2 linked regions of the Caenorhabditis elegans genome follow. The protein of the gene in region 2 purifies or fractionates together with the protein of the main gene of each other region. This does not show direct contact. Each region holds a gene or a part of one and is shown on either strand. Other genes may lie near its edges.

What was found.
Region 1: the proteins of tra-1 (region 2) and nxf-2 purify together in Caenorhabditis elegans (affinity purification with western blotting, with the first as the bait; one study listed by BioGRID). This does not show direct contact.

What each region holds. Positions count from the first base shown.
Region 1 is NC_003283.11:14,413,223-14,428,238, reverse strand, and holds nxf-2 (Nuclear RNA export factor 2), read left to right. Parts: upstream 1-10,403; 5' UTR 10,404-10,443; coding exon 10,444-10,755; intron 10,756-10,802; coding exon 10,803-10,889; intron 10,890-10,937; coding exon 10,938-11,084; intron 11,085-11,134; coding exon 11,135-11,197; intron 11,198-11,243; coding exon 11,244-11,375; intron 11,376-11,426; coding exon 11,427-11,491; intron 11,492-11,537; coding exon 11,538-11,949; 3' UTR 11,950-12,092; downstream 12,093-15,016. Other genes in the region: rrsr-1 (Ribosome biogenesis regulatory protein homolog), read left to right, coding at 3,235-3,335, 3,390-4,127, 4,181-4,343; rpoa-12 (DNA-directed RNA polymerase subunit), read left to right, coding at 4,941-5,067, 5,116-5,233, 5,295-5,409; pas-1 (Proteasome subunit alpha type-6), read left to right, coding at 5,621-5,692, 5,742-6,078, 6,137-6,468; dhs-22 (DeHydrogenases, Short chain), read left to right, coding at 6,812-6,900, 6,949-7,075, 7,199-7,788, 7,844-8,039; set-31 (SET domain-containing protein), read right to left, coding at 8,215-8,417, 8,464-8,635, 8,682-8,825, 8,872-8,989, 9,036-9,148, 9,197-9,490, 9,538-9,846, 9,985-10,143; C15H11.11 (Cytochrome b-c1 complex subunit 10), read right to left, coding at 12,093-12,231, 12,277-12,425; nxf-1 (Nuclear RNA export factor 1), read left to right, coding at 13,227-13,353, 13,402-13,793, 13,843-14,022, 14,073-14,159, 14,208-14,317, 14,424-14,460, 14,515-14,583, 14,640-14,833 and 1 more. UniProt on the Caenorhabditis elegans protein: Involved in the export of cellular mRNA to the cytoplasm. Plays a role in the nuclear retention of unspliced mRNAs.
Region 2 is NC_003281.10:11,187,585-11,203,335, reverse strand, and holds the start of tra-1 (Sex-determining transformer protein 1), read left to right. Parts: upstream 1-8,134; 5' UTR 8,135-8,272; coding exon 8,273-8,293; intron 8,294-8,375; coding exon 8,376-8,471; intron 8,472-10,233; coding exon 10,234-10,294; intron 10,295-11,404; coding exon 11,405-11,521; intron 11,522-15,751. UniProt on the Caenorhabditis elegans protein: Plays a major role in controlling sexual phenotype. Terminal global regulator in a well-characterized cascade of sex-determining genes. Promotes female development. Interacts with tra-2 to promote spermatogenesis.

The sequences.
Region 1 (15,016 bases), on a different chromosome or scaffold from region 2:
TTGAGTATTTAGTCATCCTAAACCTGAAGTTGCTAGAAAACTTTAAACTTTTTCGAATCTCAAGACCAATAATCTTATTTTAGTGTCTACAAAGTGACCTATTGCGCCATGTTGTTCCAACTTTATTTTGTTAAAAATTAGTTTTGAATAATATAGAAAGTTATTTGGAAGTATTTGTTCAATTGTTTCAGCTAAAATAAATGTGATTTCAAAAAGATCAAGTGATTGTCTACATTTTGAAACTATCTTTTAATGAAAAATGTTAGAACAACATGGTGCAAGAAGCCAATTTGTAGAACTACGGAAAATCCTGGTTGGCATTTGAGTCAGTTTTCAAGCAATTTCGTAAAATTTTCAATTTATAGTAAAGTTAACTTCAGAAAGTAGAAATATTTATTTATGCTAAAACTTTTTCGCATGTAAAAGTCTGATACTCCTTCTTCTCCATCAAATTTCGCATTTCAATATTTCGCATCTGCTACAGTACACTTCTCACACACAATTTCACCCACGTGCAACCTATTGTTCATTCATTGACATCCAATTGCTCATTTGCATCGTTCTCGCTCTTTTTGTCATTCATCTTCTCATCCTACTTCGTCATTTGAGTGACACCTTCTATGTGTCGGAACCTTTAGTGGGCTTTTAACACACATTTGCATAACCACTGCTACCCCATCTCTAAATGGATGATCTTTTGTGTAACAATTAGGAGAATTGGCAGATGTATAGTTGAATTCAACAGGAAGTATGTGTCACTTCCACCACCTAAATTTTCGCGCATTCAATGAGCAAATATTATGAGGGAATGGGGGAACAATACTTGCAGCACCAATGCACAATTAGACGATGTGCATCCTGAGAAGCCACCTGCTTGTGAGATTTCATACGAAATGAGGAGACGCAGATAGTATTGTGTACTTGAAGACGTTTAGTTGACCTACTAATACTTATTAATCTACTGGCTTTTCCTAGTTATTCTTCTCTTCCTTATTATTTTCTTAATTAGGGATTAGTGTGAATGAATTGAGTTGCAGAAGAACATATTATGACAAGTGGGTTTGTACGTCATTTACACTCGTAGAGGAATCAAGTGTTTTTCAAGAGATTTGAAGTATGGAAGTCTTGAAACTTATAATCGGGGCGTAAAGATAAACTATCTTGTTCTAACTTTTTCATAAATACCACCTCCCAGTTTATGCGCTTGCCTGAATGCCTACGTCTGAACGCCTACTTGCCTGCCTCATGCCGTTCGCCCGATTTTGTCCGATATTCTCACTCTACAAGATGAACCTGAAATATTCCAGTTAGTAAAGTAAATTTTGTTATTTTTGACACCTTGACGTGGAAAACATTAAAAATCTTCTTGAAACACTTGTACACAGTAAAAATTATATTAACTTATAACATTCAGTTGCCAGCCTTCAATAGAAATACATAAATTTAAAGTTGCAGCAAATCAAAAAATGCTTTTTTCCGTTAAAGGTCATCAGTTGAGATCTCTAAATACACTTATTGCACATAACCAAATATTGCACTTCCAAGCAATTTTAGATTTTTCAAAATATTCAGTCAAAGTTTTGGTAAAATGCCAAATCTTCCAAAATTGACTTTTTGAGAGATTCCAGAATTTCCGAGCATTGCTACAAATTGAAATGTTTCGGTGTTTGAGTAGGAACAATTAAAACGTAATATAAAAATCGTAGAAAGAACATTTTTTGGTCGAATTCCAAAACTATGATGAGCTTTCACCACTTTTCAACTCAAAAAGTTAAATTTTTTTGAATAGTTGTACGCTTCTTTTTATCTTTTTAGAACAAATTTCAAAACAATTTCCCAACGATACCCCACCTTGAAGATCATTCACACAGTAAGAAATATGCCAACAATTACCATTTTCCCACGTGTTCTCTCTCTCTCGAGATCTCTCCTGACTTCAAAGCCATACCAATTTCCGGTAATTCAGTGTCCATATTCCTATGTCATCTGTCATTTCAATCTCGGCTCATCAACATCATAATACAATGACCTTGTAGTTGAGGATCTCCGTTCGGCTTCCGAAACAAAAGGCAGATGTATGGTAAGTAGTTGGGTGTTACATACTCTCTCCAAAGTGTTGTTATTGATGTTACACCCTTTCTTCTCAGTAATTCATCAAAACTCTTTTCCTCGCTAATTTGTTTGATGATTTATGAGGGAAGCGGGGTGTGCAAGTTTCGCGCATTTCGGCTTTCAACACAGAAAAATCACTAATTCGTTGATTTATTTTTATGTGAACTTTTGTCGTAACAAGTATCAGGCGGCATCGTTTTTGTGTTGAAAGTTACCGTAAGATTCAAGGGTTTCATTTCGATGTATCCTAAATCTGGGACAATAGAATTTTATGGACCACCCGGTTAGGAGTAAACAATACCCAATAAAATTTAATAATTGAGCTGCCTTCTGCGGTGGAATGTATGCTCCATGATGACATTTGTATCTTTGAGAAATATGTTAGGGATCCAAATCATCAAAATTACTAACTATGTATATGGTGTATTGTTTCTATATTTCTCATTGGAAATTTGAGCTGGAACAGAGAATTTTCTTCATTTTTATTTATAAAGGGCGCTGGATAATTACCGAAAAAGGGAAATTTTTGAGCCTCAAGCATTTTAACCTATGAAAGATAGTTTCATAAGAGTTTTCAGATTAATCGAGGTTCTTGAAATCATTTAATCAGGAAAATACCCACATTACTCACAGAGATCCGCTTTCAGACGTTATGTTCTCTCTGATGGTCTGATTCTACTAATTTTAAATGTAATTTATTTTTTAATTAAAAGCTTGTAGTGGTTTGTTTTACTTTACATAATGTGCTCACATTTTCTTCGTATTTTGTGAGAGATGACGAAAACTACAATAAAAGAAAAATGCGTGCGGTGGCGTTGCAAAAACCACGCGCACCACTTGCAATAGAAGCCACGCCCTTATTTCCTTTGTTTTATTTTTCGTTTTCAGCTCTTTCAGTTCTCTTTTCAAATGATTTACCTGTTAAAATTAGTCAGAAAAATTAGATTTCGGTTAAAGTTTTGATTTTCTTTATAACAGTTATACGAAAATTGGTGCCGATTGCTGTTTAAGCTTCAGTTCTGAAAAGCTGTTTCTATAATACATTCGCACTGTCTTTCCCGTTCAGTTGCAGCGTTTTTCTACTTTCAGTAGTTTCAGTTAATACTTTAATGTTACAGAGAAATGGCTGACAAATCGACGGAGGTTGAAAAGGCCATTGACCCAATCATTGACTTGGGTAACCTGCTGTTTATTGATCGAGAGCCAATCCAAGGAGACGCAAGGTATATTATAGAATTTCGTTATTAATTAAACCAGCAAATTTCATAATTTTTCAGTGAAGGACTCGAGGAACGTGCTAGGAAGAACACACAACTCCTTTTCAACAACATCTGGCAGCTGGAGCAAAAAAGAGTAGAAGAGGCTATTATTGTTACTCTCCCTCCCGCCACTTACCGTCTTCCTCGTGAGAAACGATTGCCAGAGAAAAAAGAGCCGACGAAATGGGAGAAATATGCTGCTGAAAAGGGAATTGAGAAGAGAAAGAAGGATAAGAAGGTGTTCGATGAAGCGACAAAGGAATGGAAACCGACCTATGGATACAGACGTGGAAATGATGATACCAAGGATTGGCTGATCGAAATTCCTGACAACGCAGAAGATCCGAACAAGGATTTCTTTGCTGAGAGACGCGAAAAGAAGAAGGAGAGAGTTGCAAAGAACGATATGCAGAGAATGAAGAATCTTGCTCGTCAGATGAAGACAACAGTCAAGAGCGGTCCATCGACAGAAAAGATGATCGGAGTAGGAGTCGATGCCAAGGAAAAATCAAAGCAACAAGTTCGTTTCGCAGTGGATCGTGCAAAGCTTGCCACAGCTTCCGCTGGAAAGTTCCAGGAAGGATTGAAGGGAGAGAAGGCCAACGTGAAAACTGGCAAGAAGAGAAAGTTCGAAGCCAACGAAGCTCCAGTTTCTGGCGAGAAAGAACGTGCTCTCCAGATTCTTCAACGAATGAAGTCAAAGAAAGCAAAGATTGTTGAAGAAAAGGCTGCTGCAGTTGCTGGACCTTTGAGAGAGTGAGTAGTGAGAAAATTAGGCCTTTATCGTTATTCAATTCAATTAATTTCAGGAAGAAGGAAAAATCGGAGAGGAAAGGTGCTAAAGATCAAACAAGACAGAAGAGTCAGATTCACAGACAACAGTGGTTCAAAAACAAGGTCGACGGCAAGAAGAAGGGTACTGGTGGTGCTGGAAAGAAGGGAGCCAACAAGGCCAAAGCAAGAAAGGGATAATCTATGTTCTTGTTTTTTATTCAAATTTGTTGATTTTGATTCGTTTATTTTTTTTGTTACTTTCTTTTTTATTCATCAAATTTTAACATTCAATAAATAAATGTTCTGTTAAGTAGAAAATGTTACTTTTCTTCATGAAATGATGTTTTAGTTCTCGATTGTGAATTTACCTGGGATAGGTTATTTTATTAAATTTGTTCAGAGTTTTATATAATCCCAATTATTTTTCTCTGGCATGTTTTTTTTTTCTCTGAATGTAAGAAAGCCAACATTGATTCGCGATTTTCAAATCTATGAAATTAATAGGCGGAGTTTTCTTTGCCAGATCCAGCAACTCGGCCATCTTTCAAACCAAGATAAGTGATTTTAGATCATTTAACAATTTGCCTGTCAAGACTTAATATTTTCTCAACTAGTAAAGTGCTGTTCCCATTTACTCAGCAATCTGTTTCTTCGAAAGTCACAAATCGGTAGTGTCTCAATTTCCAAGCGTGCTCCATCGCACTCCCTTTAAATTTTGTCATCTTTTCGGCGTTCTCATCATTTTTCAACCTTCAACAATATATTTTAGTCGAAACTTCATTAATTCAGCTTAAAATGGCTTTGAACTTCCTCTCATACGACGATGACTTTTGTGGATATTGCGGCGCCATCTTGGAACTACCGGCACAGGCTCCAGCGACGGTCTCCTGCAAAGTATGCTCAACTCGATGGGCTGTGAAAGGTTTCCTGCTTTTAAGATGAATATATTCTAATTTTAAAATGTTTTCAGAAAGAGTAGATCAAGTGGTTAGCCGTGTCGAAAAGATCTACGAACGAACGGTTGCTGATACAGATGGAATTGAAAATGACGAGTCAGCGGATGCTGTTGTTGATCATATTTGCACAAAGTAAGAATATTTCCGGGGATTTTGAAACTGAGAAAGACTGAAACTAATTTCCAACTTTAAGGTGCGGTCACTCAAAGGCATCATATTCTACTATGCAAACGAGATCTGCAGATGAAGGACAAACAGTATTCTATACATGCCTGAAATGCAAGAAGAAGGATATCGAATATTCTTGATAACCTTTCGAGTCTTTATTTTTCAAATCAGATTTTTATTTCTGTTGTTATATATTGTTGAATTTTTGTTTTTGTTTCCTGAATATTCCATTAAGTTTCTTTTTATTCGTTTTTTTTTTCATTTTATTGGTACACTGGTCAATAACCAGATTTCCTATCTTTATCGGTTTTCAAATTAATGGTTGATTTCCACTTTAAAATTTATGTTTAGATGTCTCGTGGAAGCAGCGCCGGATTCGATCGTCATATTACCATCTTCTCTCCAGAAGGACGTGTTTATCAGGTTATAAAATAATAGTTGAATGTTTATAACTTTCCATGCTTGCTTCCAGGTCGAGTATGCCTTCAAAGCAATCAACTCTACCAATCTGACGGCTGTCGCAGTCAAGGGAGCTGATGCAGCTGTCATTGCCGTTCAAAAGCGTGTTCCAGACAGTCTCATCGTCGCTGATACCGTCACTTCGGTTTATCAAATCTCTCAGTCTGTTGGATGCTGCGCCATTGGAATGATCCCGGATGCTAAATTCCAAATCAAGCGTGCACAGGGAGAAGCTGCTAGCTGGAAGTACAAGAACGGCTACGATATGCCATGCGAGCTTCTCGCCAAAAAGATGGCTGATCTCAACCAGTATTACACACAAAATGCGGAGATGCGTAGTTTGGGATGTGGTTAGTAGAAAAATTTCCGAATTCTCTAACTTCAATTATTACAATTACTCAATTTCAGCTCTTTTGTTCATTTCCTACGATGACGAGAAAGGACCAGAAGTTTATCGTGTTGACCCCGCTGGATACTACCGTGGTATGAAAGGAGTATCTGTTGGAGTGAAACAACTTCCAGCGACCTCATTCTTGGAAAAGAAAATTAAGAAGAAGTCCGAATTGACATCCACAGAAGCTATTGAACTCGCCATTGAGGCTCTTCAGACTTCATTGGGAATCGACGTTCGTTCCAAGGATCTTGAGGTTGTCGTTGTCACCAAGGATAACTCCAAATTCACCAAGCTAACCAGCGATCAGGTCGAACATCATCTCAATCAAATCGCCAACCGAGATTAAATATTCATCGACCTTTGTATTTAAATATTTCCCGTTTCAATTGATCCGGTACCCAAATTGAATTAAATACCTGGTTTCCCTTTTCTAAATTTATTTATTGTTTTCTTTACTCCCTGTTTCTCGGTCTTTTTTATCATTGCCCTCCGCCCCTTTCTCTTTTGAAACTATTTATTTATCACTAAAAATCATGATAAAATGATTTTTGAAACACTTCATATTATTCATGTTGACTTTGATGGTGGTTTCGCAATCCCTGTTATTTATTTTTTAGTACGAATTCATTGAAGAAAACTGCAAGTTAAAAAAATTATACATTCAAAGTTTTAACAGACCATCTATTAAAATGGATGGTGCAGATGCTGAAGAACATGGAGGATTCCTCTTTTTTGTGCTCGCTTCATCCGTAGTTTTTATTGTGCTCTTTTTCACAAGGTAATCGATATTTCACGATAGCTAAAACTATAATCTAAAATATTTCAGACGTTACTTTAAAGGAGGTCAATTCAATGAAAGAGTCTCTGCAAAGGGATTAGTAGCCGTTGTGACCGGTTCTAATTGTGGAATTGGATTCGAGACAGTTCGGGAACTTAATTTGAGGAAAGCTGATGTGAGTTACAGAACTAATTGCATTGTTATAATTAATTGCTAATTACTAATTACATAAATTGCATTTGTTTCTAAACAATGCTATCCATATTTAAGTTATCAAGAATAATCTAATTTTTTCCAGGTCTATATGCTGTGCAGAAGCGAAGAGAAAGCCAATGAAGCGAAACGAATGCTCGTGAGACAAGGATGCGATGCCACTCGTCTTCACTTCATTGAATGTGATTTGACAGATTTTGAAAGTGTACGACGAGCTGCCAAGGAAACTCTCGAATCGACTGACACCATTGATATCCTTATCAATAATGCTGGAATCATGTTTCAAAGCAAACACGAGCAAACCAAGGATGGTCATGAGAAAACTTGGCAGAGCAACCATTTGGGACCATTTCTGCTCACCGAACTTTTTCTGCCAGCTGTTAAGAAGTCTTCCTACGCTCGAATCATCAATGTTTCATCTCGTATTCATTTGAAATCCGAGAAAATTAATTTGGCTACTGTAGATGACAAGAAATCGTTTGGAATGATGAAATCGTACAGACAGAGCAAGTTGGCAAATGTTATGCACGCAAGAGCCTTGACTAAGGAATTGAGAAAGGACGGAGCCGAACACGTGACTGTTAACTCCCTGCACCCAGGAGTTGTTAATACCGAGCTCGCGAGAAATACCATTTTGAATACACCAGGAATCAAGCAGATTACAGCTGTTTTCCGGTAAGCCAAGCCAAATTTCCACACTTAACCTTAAAATAAATAAAATTAATTTCAGTTGGTTCCTCATGAAAACCAGCCGCGACGGAGCTCAAACTTCAATCTTCCTTGCATTGGGCAAAAAGATCGGTGGAATCAGTGGAAAATACTTTGCCGATTGCAAGTTGACCCAAGAAAACCCACTAGCCTTGGATGATCAGGCCTGTCAGGATTTGTACAATTATAGCTTGGAATGTACTGGCCTCGCCAAGTAATGTGCCAGCGCAGCTACAATAATTTCTCTATTAAGAATTCATATCAATCCCATTGTAAACTTTAACAAAGGCTTTATATTCAAGTATTTAAAATTAAAATTTCATTGAATGAATAAATATGTAATACATAACAAAACGAAAAACAAAACTAGTTGAAAACATTTTACAGCGAGTTTCACTCGAGGAAATTACCATTTTTTATCTTCCAGATTTTTGGTGACTCTACCAGAGACATGCCATTGAACGTCGACGTCAGTTTCTCCTTCTCGGACTTCTTCTTCGCTGACTGGTCGATATATACAATCTCTCGGCACTTGTGCTCACATTTGCACTGCACGAAGTCGATATCCTTCTCGAGGAGATGGAAGAGTTTGCCGTCTGAATGAGGACATTTATCTAGGAAAACTAATTATCAAGAACGTACCTGGAGCAACAACCTTTGAGAAGTATTCCTCAACCTCTTTTTTGAAAGCCTTGAAATAATCAAGGGTGATCACATATCCATTGCCTTCGTCGAGGGGAAAACGTGAGTAAATCACGAGATCAGGAATGTCGTTTCCTGATTCAACCAAACGAACATTGCATGTTGGATTACACTGGATATCATCAAGTTATTAGAATAGTTAATTGAATAAAACTCACGCTGTGGGGAATGAATTTTGAGAAGTCATAGAACTCTCGACGATCGAGGCACAAATCTGTTCCTGGAATTTCGACGAAAGAACTGAATGCAACCTCTTTTCCTTCAGTTCGCAAAGATTCTCGAGCAACTTCGGCTGGTCGAATCTGAGATGAAATATTATACAATTACAATTACAGTTTTTAAAATTACCACTCCAGTCATGACCATCAGAGGAACATTGGGGAGACTGTACATAGCTGATAATATGTACCAGCCCGATCCGGGTTCCTGTCTCATTTCAAGTGGTATGGAGAATCTCGAGTTCACTCTAAATAAAAATAATTAAAATCTGAAACACTTTTCAAAACACATACGCCTTGTTGATTCTTCGCATTCCCTCGTACTTATTCTCATCAACCTCCTTCAGATATTTTGGCTGTTGTGATTCGTCTTTGGCAAAATACAACCGGTCGATGAATGGCCGAACCTGAAATTTGTGAATTTAAGAAACAGAAGAAACATAATAAATGCTCACATTGTTGAATCCAGCTTTTATACCCTTCCGAGGGAAAAAGTGAGGAAAATTTTCACGATTCTTATACATTTCTTCTGTAACTGGTTCAAACAAGATGTTTGGCAATGGAGGCGGAGGGAAGAGGACTGATTGCTTCTTAGTTGGGTAGAAGATCTTGACGAAAGGATAATCTTCGAAAATCTGTCTCTGATATTTCATCTCCTTGTCATACTGAATATGACTGCTGTTGACTCTATCAATTTGTGGAACGAGGAAGGAGTGTAGAAGATGCATCTGGTTATGCTCTTTGATGTACTGAAAATTCGATTTTAAACCAGTACGGGTAAATAGAAAATACTCACTTTCAAATACATAATCTTTGCTCCGATGTTGTCTCTCGTGACAAACTTGACCGAAGATCCGAAAACAGTGGCTTCCGCTACGATTGATAAAGGTATCAAAGTGTTCGTGAAAAATACTAAGTCACTAAGCGCGGTATCCAGATTTCGGAGGAAAAAGTCAAGATTCGTTACGTATGAAGATTTCAATGTCCTTGCAGCATACCCCATAAGCTTCTCGGTGCACACAAGTCGTCGTTCAGCTTCTTCCGTGTCACCACCATTCCAGTTCGTCCACTTGACTGTATATTGAATCTCCCGTCCTTCGATTCTCTGAGATATTGTAATTATGGTGGTTTGAAAACAATTTTCTTGGCAACTACCTTTTGAGTTACACGAACAAATCAAAATGTATTTGAATACAATTTTAAATTTCACAACATTACTTGAATAACCCTATAAGAAACACACCGAGCGAACGATATCTTGAACTTCATAAAATTCGGTGTCCACCTTGCCGGTATTTTGGGTGGAGATTTTGTCACATTTCCTTGACTTGGATGCATTCTTTTTGATCGCATTCTTGGACTTTCGCGATTTTGCTTTCTTTTTAATATCCTTCGTAGTCATTCGTGGTGCTTTTTTCTGCACTGCAGCCTGAAAGTTCGTTTACCGGTTTATTTGCTTTTTTTTTTCGATTTAAACATACCTATTTTTTCGCAAAAAAATTGAGGATTGATTTTTTAGCTAAAAAATAAAAAATAAATATTTGGGCTAAATTAAAAAATTTAGATGATTTCTGCAAAGGATGAGGAGGTCTCGCATGGATTGACACACCTTGCGACTACGGTAGCTGTAGATTTACGAAGTGATTTTCTTGTCTTCAAATCGACTTCAATTTTTCAAACTAAATGCTCACTTTTTAAGATTATGCGTGGACAAAATCGGCGAGGCTATCGGAATATCGAAGGACGGCTCAGCCTTTCATCCCATTCATCGCATTCTTCACCACGCCAGACACATGTCACAAACTTGAGGCCAGCTGAAATCAAGGTTGTCCAAGATGTCGTGGATGGGTGTTATGTTGCGACTGACGATGTTCTTAACCTGTCGAACTTTTCAAAAAACACAGAATTTGTCGAAAGGGACATGTTGATGTGCCTCACGAAGACAAGAGTGATGTCGGTAGTTCTACAGCATATTGGGTACAAATATCCTCGCATTTCCGGAATCTCATTCTCGGTTTAGATTAATTTGTGAAAAAATAATTAATTCCATGTAATTTTCAGAATAATCGGCTCTGTCACTTGGACCATCTCTCCTCTCTCTCGAGCATATCCAAGTTTCTAAAATTCCTCGACTTGAGTCATAATCAGGTTTTAAAAGTTTTTGTATTCTTAAATTTCATAACTTTTTTTTCTAAGATTTCGTCAGGAGAAGAATTGAAGAAGTTAGGAACGATTCCAGTAGAAACTGTGTTTTTCGAGGGAAATCCAGTCTGCGAGAAGTTTGTGCAATGTGCCGAGTATGCCAACTTTATTCAAAAGACATTCCCAAAATGTTCAAATTTGGTAATTCACGAATATCCTAACAATTATTTCAATTTCTATCTAAATTGTAGGATGGAATGGAAGTCGAACCAAAACCAGATCACAATAGAATCGAGCAGATAATTCCATTCAGGGTGATACAGTATATTTCTACATTCCCGAATCATCTAATTATTTTAGAATGGATACTATGGCAGTGATGAAGTTCGTACTCTTGTCGAAGAATTTATCATCACATATTACAAAATCTACGATGGCGCAGATGGACAGCAGACAAGGAAGCAACTTCTGGATGCGTACGACACAAATAACGTGCTGATTCTTGCATTTTTTCAGTAGTAAATATAAACATATATTTTTCAGTCAACATTCACGCATACAGTTGTCTGCTTGTGGGACCCAATTAAATTTGTCATGTATCCGGACAGGTACCGTCTGAAGTCTTAAGGTTTTAATAATTATTTATATTTCAAGTGAGAGCTATCGAATGTACCTGAGAACTTCGCACAATGTTCTGAATCAGGAATATTTTGCCGCAAATCGGGCCTCCAGAATATCACACGGTGCAATGGATATCGTAGTTGCACTTTCGAGACTTCCTGCCACAATTCATCTGATGGATACATTCGTAGTTGACGTGTTCCTTGTTTCGGCAACACTTCTCGGATTCACATTACATGGAACATTTCGTGACGGACCATCTGCGATAAAGCCCGAGAACACTGAGGAACATGATAATTATTTTACGAGAACATTCATGGTTGCTCCAAGAGGCGAAGGAAAAGTCGCCATTGTTTCCGATCAGCTGTTCATTAGCTCGATGTCAAAAAGACGCGGCGATCAGTACCGCATGCTAGTGGAGACAGCAACGGACATTGACCAGTGAAAATTATATATTTTCATACATTTAAACGGCATCCTATTTGTATTTTTATGTCTAGTTTCGGATCATATCTTGTTACCAACACCTAGCATGTTTTTTTTTGTCTCAACATTTTACAGTTATTTGTTAATCTTCATTTTTAAAAATTATTTGTATGGAACAATGTCTAATCGGTCTTTGTAGCTATCAATTTTCAAATTGACCTGATCAAAAGTGGCAGCACCAAACCAAGCAGCTGCGAATCCAATTGAAGCACTCGCTAGGTAGATCGCGATGATTCTTTTTCTGAAACAATTCCATTTTCAAGAGACTTTTCGTGGAAATACCTACCCCGGTTTCCTCAAACCGGGAAATACGGGAACACGGGAGAATGTGAATTCGGCTGAAGTTCCGATGTCTGGCAACATCTTCCGACGTTCAAAACGCGTCGGAATAGGCGCAATATTGTCAAGACGCGAATCAGGGGTGTACTTCTTCATATTCTTTTAGTTGTAAGAACAATGGAGAGAGACGGATGTTTTGGAAATTGTTGGCTGCGAAGATGGGAAAAGAGTGGTGAGCAAACAAAAATTACGGGGAACAAAACGTTTTCTCGTATTTTTACTGCTATCTATATAGCCACTGAATTTGCAGAAATATGTATATTTTGTTGACAGGTGACAGTGAAATATTGAAAATTTACTCATATATTACAGTAGTATCTTTTTGCGGTTACTGTAGTCGGCGAAATTGAAAATCACTGTTCAACGATTAATATTTTGCATGATCGATTTTTATCATGCCTCTTAAGTGTTACTATCATTCTAACCGAGAATTCACGTCATTTTCTGACTCGCATGAAACATGTTTGCCTAAAACATTTTTTATTCTTGTTTATGTCGTCAAATTGGGGGCTCGTCTGCATTTTTGCGTAACGGTGTTTGCACAACCGATAAAAGTCACGAGATTTTTTTTTGCATAAATATGATTCAGTTTCACCAATTTTCGAATTGCCGTTCTTTGCTTAGTGTTCCAAATGTGAAATTATAGTTTTAAAATCTGATTCATTGAGTTTTCTGATTTCCGCAAAACTAAATTATCTCCCGGCTGGAATGAGGCAGCCGTCCCAGTTTCGCAACACTTTCGAAATGAGTAAAAATTTAACTTTTCCTTGTCTATTATAACTTTTCATGTTCAATATTGCTTTCTCTTGAATATCATATTTATTTGTGTTTCACCTACACCTTTAATTTAATTTTTCGATACCAGTTTTCCCTCGATGAAATACAAATCTTTCAGATATGAATCGCAAAGGGTTTGGAGGGCATCGTGACGCGAAGCAATTGTCACGTACAAAGAATCGTTTTGCTCGACTTGACCCAGACACTCAAAGCAGATATGAAGACGACGACGAGCCTGCCGTTCCAGGTAACGCTTAGATTTATTCATATCCTTGCCAACTTATTTTTGTTTCAGTTCGTGCAAGCCTTACTTCTGCCAGTAGCCGTGGTCGTGGAGGATCATCACGCGGTTTCGGACAATCGGCTGCATCCATCGCCAACACTGGAGTTCGTAATGCTGACATCGTCTACAAGTGCCGTGCTACTGGAGCTGCCAAGAAAGTTGATGCCAAGTGGCTGATCAAGCAGCTTAATCAAATAATCGAAAATTTCAAGCCACTTCTCTGGACTGATAACGCCCGTGGAGACTTTGAATGGTACGTCCGCGACGAGGACACTGCTTCAACTATCCGAGCCAATAATCGTCGTGTTGTCCACAAAGAAAGTGGCACACGCGTTGAGTTTTACACTTCCAAAGTTCCAGCCCCATGGATGAAACTGAAACGAGAGGAAATTGAGATCATTCATGTAAGCCTCAAAATTTATTTGTCAGGTAATCATTACAAACATTTTTCAGAGAGTAGTCGACAAACGTCACAACGCCGAGAATCGAGTATTGGATTTATCAAACTTCCACGAAGACGAAGAGTTCAAGGCAAAGGATATGATGATGAATTTGACGAAAGGAAATGTCATGCTCACAGTTCTCGATCACATTGATGATAAGTACGGAAACATTGTGGCTTTGTCGTTATCAGTGAGTCATGCTCTTAATATTCTCTATAAAAGTAATTTTTATCATTTCAGAACAATCGCATCCGTCATTTGGACTACGCTTCAGCTCTCGTGTCAATCGCTAAGTTCGTTATGGAGTTGGATTTGAGTCACAACCACGTTAGTTCAATAGATCTAGCTATTTTTTATTCAACTTTTGATTTACAGATTTCCACTGAAAAGGAGTTAGAGAAATTCGCCGGATTGCCAGTCGAAAGATTCTTCTTTGAAGGAAACCCAGTCGTCGAGTCATTCACACAGAGGGCAGCATATATCAGGTTACATTATCTGAATGATTTTCAGATTTTTTATTTAAATTTCATTGTGTTTTCCTCCTTGTTCCCTATTTTATTATGTTCATTAACCCCAAACCTACCACTTCAGCTATATTCATCAATCATTCCCGCGATGCAACATGCTGGTAAGTTATTTAACATTGAGCCAAGTTCGCATCTCGGAATGAAACTACTTTCAGGACGGAGTCGAAGTGCAGCCGCTGGTTGTTGGACCGGATCTCGATATTCATGACGCAATGCCATTCAGAGTAAGTTCCTGCGGATTTAAATCTCCCTAGAACCTTCGTTATTCTAATATTTTTAGGCTGGATATTACCCAAATCCACAGATCCGAGTTCTTGTCGAGCAATTTGTGACTTCATACTTTGATTTCTACGATGGACCGGATGGCCAGAGAACTAGAAGAAATCTCCACAATGCGTACGACGCTGATGCTTCAACATTCTCGTTGACAATCGAACATTTGCGTGGATCTTCTCATGCACGACACCACAATGAGTAAGGATATTTTAAAATGCACAATATTATTATATTTATTGATTTTCAGCGAGTGCTTTGCACAATACGCTGGTGTATCACACAACGTGCTGAAACAGGAGCGATTCGCTCGTCATAGAGCTTCTCGTTCAGCGCGTGGAGCCATGGATATTGCAGTTGCTCTCTCAAAACTGCCAACATCTA
Region 2 (15,751 bases):
ACACACATATATATACACGTTTCAACAATCCGCTCTCTGCTTCTCTACGCATCTTTCTATCTCTCGGGACCCCCGAGCAGGAGGGGCCTCCTGCTCAGTTTCTCGCCCGCCCGCCCCTTGGCGCCGAGAACCGCCGCTGCAGCCGGCTGGCTCTTGGCTCCGCGGCGGCGGCGACGTCGATAGAAGTAGAAGAAGAGCCTGAGGACATGAGCTCGCTTGAGCAACAGCAGGAGTTCTCTATCTCTCTTTCTTTTTCCTTGGAAAAAAAGAGAAATGGGAGAGAGAGAGGACGCCGTCCTTTTTTTTCATTTCTCTCTTTTTTCCTCTTCTTCTTCGGGATTTCTTTTTTTTTTGCTCTTTGTGCATTGGACGGGGTGGGCTACTGTATAGTATGTACATGATACCATATTTCAACTTTGTTAACATTTTAAATGATTTAAAAATTTAAGATTATTTTTAATATAGATTTTTAGATACATGTTGGTTACCGTAATACCTTTATGAATTGGCCAACTATCAGAACCAGGGGTGTGCGGCAAATTTGCCGGATTCGCCGTTTTCCGAATTTGCCCAATTTTGTGGAATTTGAATTTTGAAATTTGCATCCATTTTTTACTCCAGAAATCCACATGTACATGAGGCAAAAATTGGACGAAAACCAGTGAACTTAGCTTTTTCCATTAATTTTGGCAATTTTCGAGCTCCAAAAAAATTTGCGACGACCACGGTAAAATTGCCAGTTTTGTTTTGCCGAATTTGCCGCACACCCCTGATTTGCTCCTCTGATAATTTAAAACATGGTGCATGTAAAACCAATATTATTTGATTTTTTCTTCTCAAATTTAATATCAACATATGTTTTCAGTCATTCTCTTGAATTGCCTTCATTACTCCCATACACACCTTTTTTCTAAAATTTTTCTCTGCGTCTCTTACCCTCTCGCACTCGCATCACTAAAGTTCTAAAAATACTAGAACGTGTGTGTGTGTATGAGCGATACGAGAGTTGCATTTCTTCATTTCTTCTATCCAATCACTTTTTTTCCAACCGGGATTGAATATGTGTATGTGTGGACCCTAGTTTAATGAAATGGGAATACCTGGCGCCACCAGTCAAATGACATTGGGGCCTTTTTTATTAGCCTCCGGAGCAGTTGGTTAGGTTGTGATTCAGTATGAATCGATGGAGAGCAATTAAGTTTCACTGGGGGCTAAGGTTCGTGGCCGTAGGGGTGAAGAACTCGACTATCGTTTATTTTTGGTGACCGAGTTTCCTCCTTTCCCGACCAGTGGCTTTTGACACTACAAAAAAAGTCGGTGGCCGAGTTTTTTTGCGGTCACGTGGTGAATTTCAGTAATTTTTGTCTTTTTTTATTGTCGGAAAACTGTAATTAATTTATAAATTAAAATAAAAATAAAACAAATAATTTTTAAAACAACATTTTCAAAAAATTTCTAAAACATCTGAAAAGTTCAAATTTTCCAAAACATGGCCGTCAAAAAGTGAAAACTCGGCCACCGGTTTCTTCGCAATATTTTTGCTCTATTTTTTTAAAAAACATTTTGGCTTGATCTACGTAGATCTACAAAAAATGCGGGAGAAGACACGCAGAGTTCTCAACTGTTTTCGCATGGTTAAGAACGTGCTGACGTCACATTTTTTAGGCAAAAAAATCCGGCATTTTCTGTAGATCAAACCGTAATGGGTTTTACTTCAAAATCACTGAACTCGGCCACCCAAATTTCCTAGTCCGTAGGTCGACAGAATTTTAAATTCTGTGTTCGCGCGCCGGGGCCAGAACAGCACAAAAAACAGCAAAAATTAGCATAATTTTTCGTTCTCTTGCCTCTTCTCGTCCCAAATAGTGCAACTCCATAAAAAAACCCCCGATATATTTCATGGAGACTTAGACGAATCTCTGTCTCTTTCCCTCTCTCTCTCTGTGTCACCAGGAGGACACATTTCAGAAAGAGAGGGCAACAGCAACCAAAATAAAAAAAAAAACGTCGTTTTCTTCTTCTCCGTTGCAGGGAGAACCCATAAAATGTGTGCGCCTCCGTCGGTTTTATTGAGAGGGGCGGTATTTCCAGTGTTCTTCTTTTTTTCTTCTACATCCATGGAAGAGGAAAGAGCTCAGCGAGGGGGACGGAACGCGTGCTCTTTTTCTCTTTTTTTTTGGGGGCTTCAACATTTGTAGGGAACTATTCAGTCAGAAGCTTTGAATTCTAGAGAAAGGTTTATTATTGAAAACTGCTACCGTAGTCAAATTTTAGAAAAAAAGAGCAATTGCAAATCGACAAATTGCCGGAATAAAAATATCCGGCAAACCGGCAAATCGCCGGAATAGAAAATTTCCGGCAAATCGGCAAACCGCCAAATTCTTGAATTACGGTATTTGCCGAAAAATTTTGGCAAATTGTGGTTTTGCACATTTTTTTTTCGGAAATTTCAGAATTTCAAATTTAATCGGCAAAATTGTACGCATCCTATGTATCGAAATTTCCAGCAAATAGGCAAATAGCCGGAATTGAAAATTTCCGGCAAACTGGCAATATTTTTTGGAAATTTCACAATTTCAATTTTCATCGGCAAAATTGTACGCATCCTATAAATGTTCCTACATCTATTTTGAAAAGTAAGCAAATTCACTGAACATATCTAGAGAGAAGGGGGAAACAATTTCAAAAAGGCAGTTTTTTTGTGTTTCAGTCTTCCAAAAAATCCTCTACAAACTTCCGGCAAGTTGATATCCGGCAAACAGCAAATCGGCAAATTGCCGGAATTGAAAATTTCCGGCAAATCGGCAAACTGGCAATGTGCCGATTCAAAATATGCATTGTAGAGTATTCATTCTATACTTTCTTTTTTAAATTTAATTCTGACCTTAAAAATTCTGGAAATTTTTTGAAAAAGGTGTTAAAGCTATTTATTAAAAAAACCCCTTTGGTGTGTGTTTCTTATTACTCTAATGGATTATTTTATATCATACCATCCGTGAAATATGACAGATATTGCTACAAGGAGGATCTTATGAATAATACATATTACGGGTGCCGCCGCCGTGCCAGAGATCTTAAGCTAGTTTTTTTTTCTTATTTTTTTTTATTTCAAAAATTTGAATTTCCCGCCATAACTTTTTCTCAAAAAATTTGAAATTCCCAGCTTAATTTTTTAAAAGAAAATGTAACTTTTCCGCAATAATTTCCGTAGAAATTTTTAATCTTCAAAATTCGTTTCAATACCTGCTAACAATTTTTAAGAGAAATTTGAACTTTCAGACAAACAATTTTTCTCAGACGATTTGAATTTCCCGCCAAATTATTTGTAAGAAAATCTTAGTTTCCCGCCAACATTTTTTTTTAGAAAATTTGAATTTCCCGCAAATTTTCTTTTGGAAAATTTGAATTTTTCACCAAGATTTTTCTATTAGACAATTTTAAATACCTGCCAAATTTTCTCTCAGAAAATTGGAATTTCCCTCCAAAATTTTTCGTATTAAATTTGAATTTTCCGCAATAATTTTCTTAGAAATTTTTAACTTCTCGGGAAAATATTTTTTGTCGCGAAAAAAAATGGCCGAGCTTCTCCCATGTTAGTCCCTCTTTTCCCTTTTTTCAAATATTAAACCTAAAGTTTTCTAAATTGACGATAATGTGTACTACTACACTTTCCCTTTTCTTTTTCCCCCAACTTTTTTTACCTAAACCTTTCTTCATTTGTGTGGCTATTCTTTAAGGAAGATACACAGAACATGACGAAGAAGAAGAAGAAGAAGTCAGCAGTCTTTTTTTTAAGGATCGGGTGTTTAGAGACGCAGGTTTGGTAAGTGATGGTGTAATAAAGAAACGAATGATACTGCCATTCAAAATCCCAAAAACCTCCTGGACTGTTATCTTTTGTAGCTTGATTAGTCTTAATTCGAAATTGTAAAATGATGAAAATTTAAGAATAATGTTCTAGAAGTTTCTCGGATTTTCTGAAACATTCTAGAGAATTTGAGATTTTTTTTGAAAGAATTCTAGACCTACCTAGAACATTTGCAATTGTTTAAGCATTCTTGAAAAATGATAAGTATTTCTGAATTTTTTGTAATTTTCTCAGAACTTCTTAAACTCTCTGGAAAATTCTGGAACTTTGCCAAATTTTTAGAAAATTTCTAGAAAAGCCTGAAACATTTTTGTATTTTTTTTAACGTTCTGGATCTTTCTAGAGCTTTATCAATTTTTTTGGAACTTTTTGCACGTTTATCAGAAAAAAACTTCTTGAACTTGTTAGAGTTTTCACCAATTTTCTGAAACTTTCTAGAACTTTCTCAAATTATTTTGAAATTTCTGAAAGTTTTTAGAGACTTTTTTTTTATTTTCAGATAAAAAAATTTTTTTTTTGGATATTTCTGGAGTTGCCTCGAACTTTCTCGTTTTTTTTTCAACTTTCTAAAAGATTTTAGAAATTTTACGATTTTCTGAAGTTTTTTAGAAATTCTTGATGTGTCAAAAACGTTCTAGATTTTTTTTTCGAATTTTCCGAAGGTTTTTAGAGATGTTTTGATTATTTTCTGAATTTTTAAAGATTTCTAACAAAAATTTTGGAACTTTCTAAATATCCTTAAAACTATCCCGAAGGTATTCTATGCGTAATCTCCCAATTATTACACCATCATTCCAAATCTGCGTCTCTAAACACCAGATCCTTTTTTAAAAAACTTAGATTAGATTGCTGATTTCTTTTTCGTGTTCTATGTATCTTCCTAGAAGAATAACCACAAGGCATAAAAAAGGTGTATATTTAAAAATAAATTAGGAAAAAGAAAAGGTCAAGTGTAGTATAATATACGAAATAGGGGTGGTCGGCAAACAATGTTTTCCGGCAAGTCGGCAAATTGGCGATTTGCCGGAAAAATGGCAAATTGCGGTTTTGCCCTTTTTGTGGAAGTTTCAAAATTTCAATTTTCATCGGCAAAACTGTACGCATCCTATGAATATTCCTACATCTATTTTGAAAAGTAAGCAAATTCTACGAAAATATCTAAAGAAAGCGGGTAAAAATTTCAAAAAGGCACAGTTTTAAGTGTTTCCGTCTTATAAAAAAATCCTCCGGCCAGCACACGATTTTTTCGGCAAATCGGCAAATAGCCGGAATTGAAAATTTCCGGCAAGTCGACAAACCTGCCGGTTTGTCGGTGAGCTATCGATTTACCGAAATTTTCGGCAAGTTGTGGTCTTGCACATTTTTTTTGAGCATTTCCGAACTTCAATTTTAATCGGCAAAACTTGATATCCGGCAAACGGCAAATTGCCGGAATCGAAAATTTCCGGCAAAACGGGAAATCGGCAGTTCCCCAAAAATGAAAAGTTCCGGTAAATCAGCAAGTCGGCAAATTGCCGTCATTGAAGATTTCAGGCAAACCGGCAAATCGGCAAATTGCCGAGATCAAAACTCCCGGCAAATCGGCAAATTGCCGAGATCAAAATTCCCGGCAAATCGGCAAACCAGCAATTTGCCGATTTGCCGAATTTGTCCACAAAAAATTATTTTCCGACCTGCAATTGCCGCCCACCACTGATATAAATCTACAGTAACCATTGCTAAATTTCTCGAATGCTGAAAGTTCGGCTAATAGCTAATTGGCTGGCTGGCTGGTTAGTGGCCGAACTTTTTCCATTCACCACGGCCTCGTATTCAAGCCAAGCTTCTTCATTTCAAAACCTTTCCCTCCACATGCTCTCCGTGCTTTTTACTTTGCCCCCCCCCCCCCCCCTTGTCACTCGTCACTATACCCCCTGACAGTGTTCTCGCCGTGATAAGAAGCTTCTACTTTCTCTCTGAAATTCTATGATCTGATTAGCTCTCTCTCTCTGTCTTTCCATCTACCCAACCATTTCGTCGCCGTTACTTACCACCATCAACAGCAGACCAACCAAAAAAAAAAGAGAATGTTGCGTTCTTCCACGCGCTCGCTCGCAACAAAAAAAGGTATGGGGTGATAAGTAATTTATACTTTTTACTGATGGCCGAATCGGCGGAGAATCGATACTGTAGCCTCGTACCGTAAGAATTTCTTGTTTTGAAAACAGAAAATGGTTCAGAAAAGGAAAAATACCTTGTCAAGGACAAACTTGTAAGCATCCGCCTGAGAAAACATTAATCCCGAAGGCCACTCACACTTTCGTTTTCGGAACTGGTACCTCTAATCTCGAAAATTTCGTAAAAATCGAATTTTTGTGGATAAAATTTTTTTTCTGCTTCTTTTCTCCGAAATTAATTTTTAAAAAAAAGCAATTTTCATGTTGAATTGGAAAAAAAAACATTCTAAGATTTTTTAGTCGAATTTAACCTAAAAACTAAATACTCAAAAATTAAAAAAAAAAACTAATTGCCGTTCGGAAACGGCAAATCGGCAAACCTTGCCGATTTGCCGGAAATTTTCAATTTCTCCAAATTGCCGATTTGCCGTTTGCCGGATATCAATTTGCCGAAAATTTTTAGACAGATTTTTTATAAGACGGAAACTCGTAAGACTGTGCCTTTTTGAATTTTTTTCCCGTTTTCTTTAGATATTTTCATAGAGTTTGCTTACAATTTTCAAAAAATTTCCGGCAAATCGAAAAAATTGCCGATTTGCAGGAATTTCTCATATCCGGCAATTGCCGATTTGCCGGATATCAATTTGCCGGAAACTCTTAAAACTGTGCCTTTTTGAAGTTTTTCCCCGTTTTCTTTAGATATTTTCATAGAATTTGCTCAAAAAATTTCCGGCAAATCGAAAAAATTGCCGGTTTGCCGATTTGCCGGAATTTTCATTTTGCAAAATGCCAATTGGCCGTTTGCCGATAAAAAATTGTTTTCCGCCCACACCTGATTTGAATGTTAAAAGCGGAAAAATATCACACAAACGCGATTATTAGCGATTTTTTTCCGCGAGAAATACGGTACTCGGTCTTGGCACGAAAATTTTTTTCTTGAATGCCAAAAGGTTTTGCGCCTTTAAGAATTACTGTACTTTGAAACTTTCGTTGTTCCGGTATTTATTATCAATTTTTGAAAATGTATTATTTATTTATTTAAAAACTAACAATAAACACTGGGCAAAAAAAAAACTCCAAAAAAAAATGAAACTACCGTATTCTTTAAAGGCGCACACCTTTTTGCATTAAATTTCAAAATTTGGCGAATAATAAAAAAAACTACAGTCGCCTCAAAGAAAATTTAGAATATTTTCGCAACATTTTTTTCCATTTTTAGACGAAATTTACTCGAAAATTCCAGAGTTTTTCAAAAAATCCCAATTTCGCCTTCCTACCGTAGTCCAGCGCGGGAATTCAAAATTCTCACGTTCCACCGGTCTCCCTTATCAATATATATCATCCTCCCAATCACTTTCACTGGTTACTTTTTCAATTTCCCTTTTTTTGCGAATTTCCGTTCGCGAAAACGAAAAAATTCCAAAAAAAAAGACCGGTGGCTATAGATACAGTACTATTCCCCCTCTTCTCAACATTTTTATTTTTTTCTTACTTTTTCTCGGCGCTGGCGCCTAGTGCCCGCGGTGGTTTTGAGACTTATTATCAGTTTTTTATCAGTTACGCCACCAATGTACGGCGTCTCTCTGTCTCGTATGCTATTTTCGCATCGCCAAGGGGGTTAGATGTTCTTCTCTCCTATGTATATGTGCTATCAGTCGAGTACTGAAAATTGTGCACGGTTTTTCAAAAAAAAAAACCACCCAAGCCTTGACTCCTTTTTTGTCGTTGTTTTTTCTGGAAAACTCAAAATATTTGTTCTCCATGTTTTTAGCGGGTCTCACCACGATCGTGCCGAGACCCACCCGACAATTAATTTCTCTGCGCCGTTATTTGAAAATTTTTGGCTCCAAACTTTCAAATTGAAAAAGTCATGTATTTTTATATTTAACAGTTCCCAATTTTTTACTGATTTTCACTGAAAAATTGGCGAATTCTCATTCAAAAAGTTTTTAAAATTAATCGAGCCTTACTGTAGTTTTAAAGGAACATGCAGTAATTCTTGCGATGGGTCTCACCACGAACTCTATTCTTTGAATTTTAAATTTAAATTTAAAGATTTTCTTCTCATTTTTCTGCCTAATATCCTTCAAATCTATTGATTTTTTTTGCAGAGAATGTGCCAGGAGGCTCGCCACGTCATCTTCTAAATAATCAACACTATTTGGAGCATCAAGAGCCCCCGCGTCAAGCAATTTTCAACGCAACTCTCCAAATTCAACAGGAAATCAAAAACAACGAAAACGGCGGCATGATGGCCCCCAGTACTGAGGTTAATTCGAGGAATTTTGAATTAAAAAACTAATTTTTACAATTTTCACATTAAAAATTCGTTAAAAATCAATTCTCTCCAGGATCCCGATACGGTTGTCGAGGCTCAACGTCGTGGAAGCTTCTCGAAGAAAAAGAATGCAAATGGGTGGAATAAGGTGGAGCTTGTCGATCAGTGTGTAAGTTTGTGAAGCTGAAAAAAAAATCCATAAAAATCGAACATTTCTAGCGAAATCCCGGTATCTCTACCGCAAAATTCGTAGATTTTTGGAAAAATGCACATTTTTCAGACAAAAACTTTTCGAAAAAGCAGATTTATCACAAAAATTTGAGAAAAATCGAATTTTCACGTACCAGGAGTGGTTTTCCGGAAAAATTCACCGAAATTCGCTTAAAATTGAACTGAAAACGTCCGAAATTTCAATTTTTTGTTGATTTTCCCACTTTTTAAGCTTTTTTTTCAAACCTAACTGTATTTTAAAAATTTAGCCTTATTCAGAATTAAATCAGAATTAAAGAATTAAATTCAAACTTAAAAATTTTAAAAATTCGAGTTTGACAACATGTTGAGCTTGAAAATCGCAGTTTTAGGCTTAGGCTTTTAGGCTTATAATTAGGCTTAGGCTTATGCTTAAGCTCAGGCTTAGGCTTAGGCTTAGGCTTGGGCTTTTAGGCTTAAACTTAGATTCAGGATTAGGCTTTTAGGCATAGGTTTAAGCTTAACCTTAAGCTTAGGCTCAGGCTTAAACATAGGCTTAAGCTGAGGCTTAGTCTCAGCCTAAGGCTTAGGCTTAGGCGACGGATTAGGCTTAGGCTTAGGCTTTAGCATAGGCTTAGGCCTAGGCTCAGGCTCCGGGGAAGAGAAATTCCTAGAAATTCCTTTAAAAAACCCAGGAAAAACGACAAAAATCTGAAAAAAATGGGGCTTTCTGTAGTCGGGTCAAAAAAATGCATGTCTAGGCGTCTAATTTCAAAAACACTTCCAAAATATTATTTCCGGCAATTCCGGCAAGTACCCCGCACCCCTGAATCAGGCCTGCCGGTTTTTTTTTTCAAATTTTGCTCATTTTGCTCAAAAAAAAAACAGACCGAAAATTGAACATTTTTTCGGCGGCACCCCGGACCTTTTTTCTGCGGTCCTATAAAAACACGTGGTGCCAGACTGTCCCATCACGTTTTGTTGATCTACGAAATTGCGGGAATTTTTTGCCCAAAAAAATAACACGTTCTTAACCATGCAAAATCAGTTTAAAAGTGTGCGTCTCTTTTCCCGCATTTTTTGTAGATCAACGTAGATCAAGCCGAAATGAGACACTCTTACAGCACTTGTAAAAATATAAAAATCGATTTTCCCTCGAAAATCGCCAAATTTTCCCGCCAAAAACTTGTCGATTTTCTCGTCTCTGGGTTGTCCAACCGTGAGAATTTATATTTTTCTTCTTCTTCTTCTCAATTTTCTCAGCTCTACATGTTTCTCATTTCCTTTTTCGGGTTCATATCACCACCGTTACCTCGTCTAGACCGCCCGAATATTTCTGCTCCTCTGATCATCGAACACTGCTCCGCCACTACTTTTTTTTCGCTGGGCGCTGTTGCTGCTCCTGCCACGTCGTTTTTTTTTTCCGCTCGACTGATAAGGAGTTGTTCTATCCAAAATTCGAGAGACAGAGAATTCCGATAAAAATACATACATATTATTTTGAAGTTCTCGTGCACTTTTGCTCTTACACTGGCACCGCCGAGCACACCCCCGCCGCGGTTGATGAGGAGGTCAGAAAAGTATAATTTGGGTCTTAGCACGCCCTGAAAATGCAAAAAAATATGGATTTTTTCAGTCAGAAGCTCATTTTTTAGGGGATTTTATCTAGAAATTCCCTAAAATTTTGGGCCCTTTCTGGATTTTCTCATGAATTTTTTAAATCAATTTTTACAATTTTCCAGGCCAAGCAAATGGGTTCGGAGGACAAACAACCTGGTGGTGGCGACGTGAAAACCGAAAATGGTACGGGAAATCGCGCTCCGTTGAGAATGACCGCGCGATTCGGCGGCAATTTGAATAGTTTTAACGAAAAAAAATGCGGAAGAAATTCGCATTAGAGCGCATTTGCACCCACATTTTTTCTTTGAAAATCGCCCGATGGAGTCGGATGGACCACCCGTTTTCAGCTTTTCTAGAGAAATTATTCAGTTTTAGACCAAAAAATTCCACAGAAAATAGAAAATTCCACAATTTATAAATATACATTTATTAGAAAAAATTTTTGAATTTAAAAAAACGGGCGATTTTCGACTCTAGACACCGCCTTTTTTCAAAAATTTTTGTAATTTTTGGGCAAAAATGGCTCGGCAAACCGAATTAAAAAATTTCCGGCAAATTGGAAAATTGCCGGAATTTAAAATTTCCGGCAAATCAGCGAGTTGCTGAAATTTGAAATTTCCGGAAAATCGGAAATTGAAATTTCCTGCAAATTGGAAAGTTGCCGGAATTTAAAATTTCCGGCAGATCGACAAATTGGCAGAATTTGGAATTTCCGGCAATTCGGCAAATCGCCAGAATTTGGAATTTCCGGCAATTCGGCAAATCGCCAGAATTTGGAGTTTCCGGCAAATCGGAAAATTGCCGAAAGTTGAAATTTCCGGCAAATTTGCGGAATTGAGGATTTCAGGCAAATCGGGTGAAATTGGCAGAGTTGAACATTTCCGGCAAATCGGCAGAATTTGGAATTTCCGGCAATTCGGCAAATCGCCAGAATTTGGAATTTCCGGCAATTCGGCAAATCGCCAGAATTTGGAATTTCCGGCAAATCGGAAAATTGCCGAAAGTTGAAATTTCCGGCAAATTGGCGGAATTGAGGATTTCAGGCAAATCGGGTGAAATTGGCAGAGTTGAACATTTCCGGCAAATCGGAAAATTGCCGGAATTTAAAAATTTCCGGCAAATCAGAAAATTGCCGGAATTCGAAATTTCCGGCAAATCGGAAAATTGCCGGAAGTTGAAAAATCCGGCAAGTTTTCGGAACTTAAAATTTCTGGCAAATCGGAAAATTACAGGAATTTAAAATTTTCGGCAAATCGGCAAAAATTTCCATTTTTCACCACTTTTTTTTTGCAGATCCATCAAAAAACGGACTCGGCTCGGCAACAAGTAATTTCATTCAAAGCTCAGTTCCCCCGTCACATCAAACTTTGAGCAATCCTCTGCAGCTGAGCCCACCGGCAGAAGCTTCAGGTCAGTTTTTTTTCTTTTTTTCTCAGAAAATATATATATCTGTGTTTGATAATTCTAGGGCTCATGGGAGAAAAAAAAAAGAAAAAATGCGTGAAATTATAGGGTCACTTTTGTGAGAAGTAGCTAAAGTACATCGGAACTTTTAGCTTGAAAAACATTTTTTTTTTTTTTGAGAAAAAAAAAATTAATTTTAAATTTTCTGTAATCCTCCATTTTTATTATCATAGAGTAGGAAAAGTACACCGTGAGCATGAAATTTGCTGGAAAAATCCGAAAAATCCACTTTTTCTTCATTTCCCCATTTTGTACTCCTCTCGGACAAGTCAATTCTGCGAAATTTGAAAATCTGGAGATTTTTTCAATTTTTCGCAATTTAAATAGCTTGAAATGATGGGAAAATGCGATGAAAACATGCTGTTAGCTCCAAATCAGGGAATTTTCATAATTTTCCAGATTTTAGCTTTTTGTACTCCTCTCGGACAAGTCAATTTTGCCAAAATTTGAAAATCTGGAGATTTTTCGATTTTTCGTAGAATTTTCGTTATTCTAACTTTTGTAAAGTGCACCAGAAGCTTGAAAATTGCTCAAAAATGAATTTTTGACCATTTTGCATTGTGTACTCCTCTCGGAAAAGTCGAATTTTTGGAAATGTAGGAATTTTCCAATTTTTTGCGGATTTTGCTCAAAAATGCTTCCAAAAGATCTATACGAATATCAGCATCGTCAAAATCGCATCATCACGTCACTCCTCCAATACGTATTGCTGTGTACTCCTCTCGGACAAGACAGTTTTTTGAAATTCGTATTTTTGAGATTTTTCAATGACTTCTAGGTGTTCAGTCGCTGAAATTTGTAGAAAATAGCTCGAAAAACCATTTTTACAACAATTTATCCGACAGTTCTCTTCGTGTACTCCTCTTGGACAAGCTGGAATTTCGAAAAACTCGACTTTTCTTTGGATTTGCACCATTTTTAAGGAAAATTTTAAATTTGTCGCTCACGAAGTCTTCCCGAATCTCGAAGCACCTGTGTACTCCTCTCTGACGAAAATCTGTGGTTTTACCAATAACTTCTCCACCCCCCGACTCACTAAGTACCCCCATTAAATAGGGTGCTCAGGCCCCCCGAAATTCCATTATCACCAGTGACACGTGTGTTTTATATGTCTCACCGAGCTCCGCCGCCGAAACATGAGGTCGCCTGAGAGGACGCCTGTTCGCCGAAGTGATTTCTATCTGTGTGTGTTGTCGCCTCCCGGAGGGTCCATGAGTATCATCAAGAGGGCGAAAAATGAGAAATGTTCCTTCGTTTTTTTTTGTGCTGCACATTTTGGTGATATGCTGTCTTAGAGCACACACACACACACAGGGAGAAGAAGAGCTTGATTGATTGCCTGTTCTACTTGAGCCTAGGCGAGCTTCTGATGATGCTCTCTTCTACCCCTTCGGGTGCCCCCAGACTTTGTTTAGTTTACAATTCATTTTAGAAACCTCTACTCTCAATTTTTTTCCCATCATCATTTCATCCAAATTGTTTATAAACCGCCCATTATCAAATTTCTCGTCGATTGGTTTCCTAGCGGGGGGTACTGTAGAAAATGGACACACGGAGAGATAAGGAGAATTGGGCAACTTTTAATGGGAGAGAAAAGTTGCGGAATTTGAGGGCTGGTCGGGATCAGGGGTGTGCGGCAAATCTCAAAATTTGCCGAGCTCGGCAAATTCGGCAAATCTCTTTTTTCAATATTTGCCGAGCACGGCAAATTCGGCAAATTTGCCGTGCTTAACAAACTCGGAATAATTTTATACTTTTTGATGTTTTTTTGAGCACCAAAACTACTGAATTCTTAACACTCATCTGGTTTCTGAATAAGTTCCGTGTAGTCTGTCTGCTTAAGCATCAAAATAACTCAATTTTGTGTCATTTTACTAAATTTTTGGCGAAAAAATCAATGGTCTTAGTCAAAATTGCACTCTCAATTTTTTGACGTGTGCGGCAAATTTCGAAATTTGCCGAGCTCGGAAAATTCTGCAAATGTACTTTTTTGAAATTTGCCGAGCTCGGCAAACGGCAAATTCGGCAAATTTGCCGCACATTCCTGGTCGGGATACTGTAGCTCAGAATTCTGGCTCCTGGAGGTACTGTAGCTCAGAATCGCTCTTGGCACCGGGGGTACTGTAGCCCAAAATCGCTCTTGACAGGAGTACTGTAGCTCAGAATCGCTCTTGACAGAAGTACTGTAGCTCAGAATCGCTCTTGGCAGGGGTACTGTAGCTCAGAATTGTTCTTGGCAGGGGCACTGTAGCTCAGAATCGTTCTTGACAGGAGTACTGTAGCTCAGAACTGTTCTTGACAGGAGTACTGTAGCTCAGAATTGTTCTTGACAGGAGTACTGTAGCTCAGAATCGCTCTTGGCAGGGGCACTGTAGCTCAGAATCGTTCTTGACAGGAGTACTGTAGCTCAGAACTGTTCTTGACAGGAGTACTGTAGCTCAGAATTGTTCTTGACAGGAGTACTGTAGCTCAGAGTCTTAAAAGCTATGTTCTCTTGAAGGAGGTGCAGCTGGGAATCTAGAAGGCCCAGGAAAGCCGTAGCTTAGAATCCGAAAGATCAGACTTATGGGTCAACTTTTCCACGTTTCCTTATGGAAGCTGAGAAAAATCCAGTGAAATCCTTAAAATTACACTGATTTTCTATAGTTTTCCGGAAAATCGTCGATTTTTTTGGAATTTAGGAATTTATTTGAGTTTGGACATTTCCAAATGTCCACCGAAACGAAAATTTGTAATTTATAAAATCAAATTATCAAATTTCGGCAAATCCTAAGTTTTCTACGAGAAAATAGACGACAAAGCCCAAAAAATGAAGAAATGGCCTGCGTTTTTTCCAGCTGAAACAGTGGCAACATTTGGTACCGCCCGGGATTCTTCTGCCCAGTGTAACCTTTCACATCAGTAGTCTCTTCGTTTCACAAAAAAAGGTTCAGACACAAACCCTGGAGATAAGAAAGTGGATCGGGGCGACTTTTTCTGAATTTTTTTCTTCCGAAGAAGACGGACGACGACGCCGGGTGGTGTTACAGTGTAAGGGTTCTCCTAATCAAACATCTCACCGGAGCAATCGATTGTGATCTATCTCTCTCTCTCTCTCTCTCTTTAAGTTTTGGTTTTCATCAAATAAAACCAGTTTCCCTCGCCAAGTCTCCTGGCGATTGATGGACTGTAACCAGTCACCCGGAACCTGGTTAACTTCTTCTCTCTCATTTCCCTTTTGCCGTGTGTGTTGCCATAGCGAGAATGAAAGTGAAAGTTGATTTTTTTTCCTTCAATTTTTCTCTGTTTCTGCCATGGCGGTATACGGTACGACCCCCGCCGATTACACATTGGGAGGGAAACCGAAATTTGAAAAGAGATTTTTTGGGGGGAAAGAAGAGGAGGAGCACGGCCACCCGGCACGCTTATCAATTTTCGCCTCCTCCTCGCCAGCCTCGCCTCTCGGGTAGTACCCTTCACCAATCACTGATAACCCATATACATGATTGGCACGACAGTTTTTTAACGAGTTGTGCGGTAGGAGAAGCTGATGGACGACAATAATGCGGACATGATTATGGGCCTGATGAGCTGGTATTACACACAAGGTGAGCGAAAAGGAGTATTTTTTCTTTGTCAAGCTGTGCTGAGATGAATCCTAAGGATCCTTGGGATCCTTCTCGAGATCTTAAGATCTTGTCTCTGATCCGATTCTCCAGCAAGTCCTCCGGAATGTCCTTGGGATCTTTCTGTTCTGAACGTAGCTCTCGATCCTTGGAAGAATCCTGGATTTTTCGGCTTTGTTGGTCCTAGGGATCCTTCATACAGGAAGTTCTATTGGAATTCGAACTGGTTAGAATCATTGGCTTCTAGAATCAGAAGCGTTCACTATAACTCCTGAAGCTCAAGGATCCTTGCAGGGATCTACAAGCTTCGGAGTTCGGTAGCTCAGCTTCTACTTGAAATTCTTTTTTGCCGGAATGAAGCTAAAGCCTCGCTTCTGTTTAAGAGTTCCGGGTAGAATTCTAGATGACTTGTGATGGCTCACCTCACCTTTTCAAAAGTACAACTCATACGACCTCCCTGGAGACGTGGGATCAGCTGAGCCCCTGAACTTTTCTCTCAAACACGTCAATGCGATAGCAGACAGTTGAACATAATTGTAGTGGTCAGCTTGTACTTTTCTCTTTTCGGCTT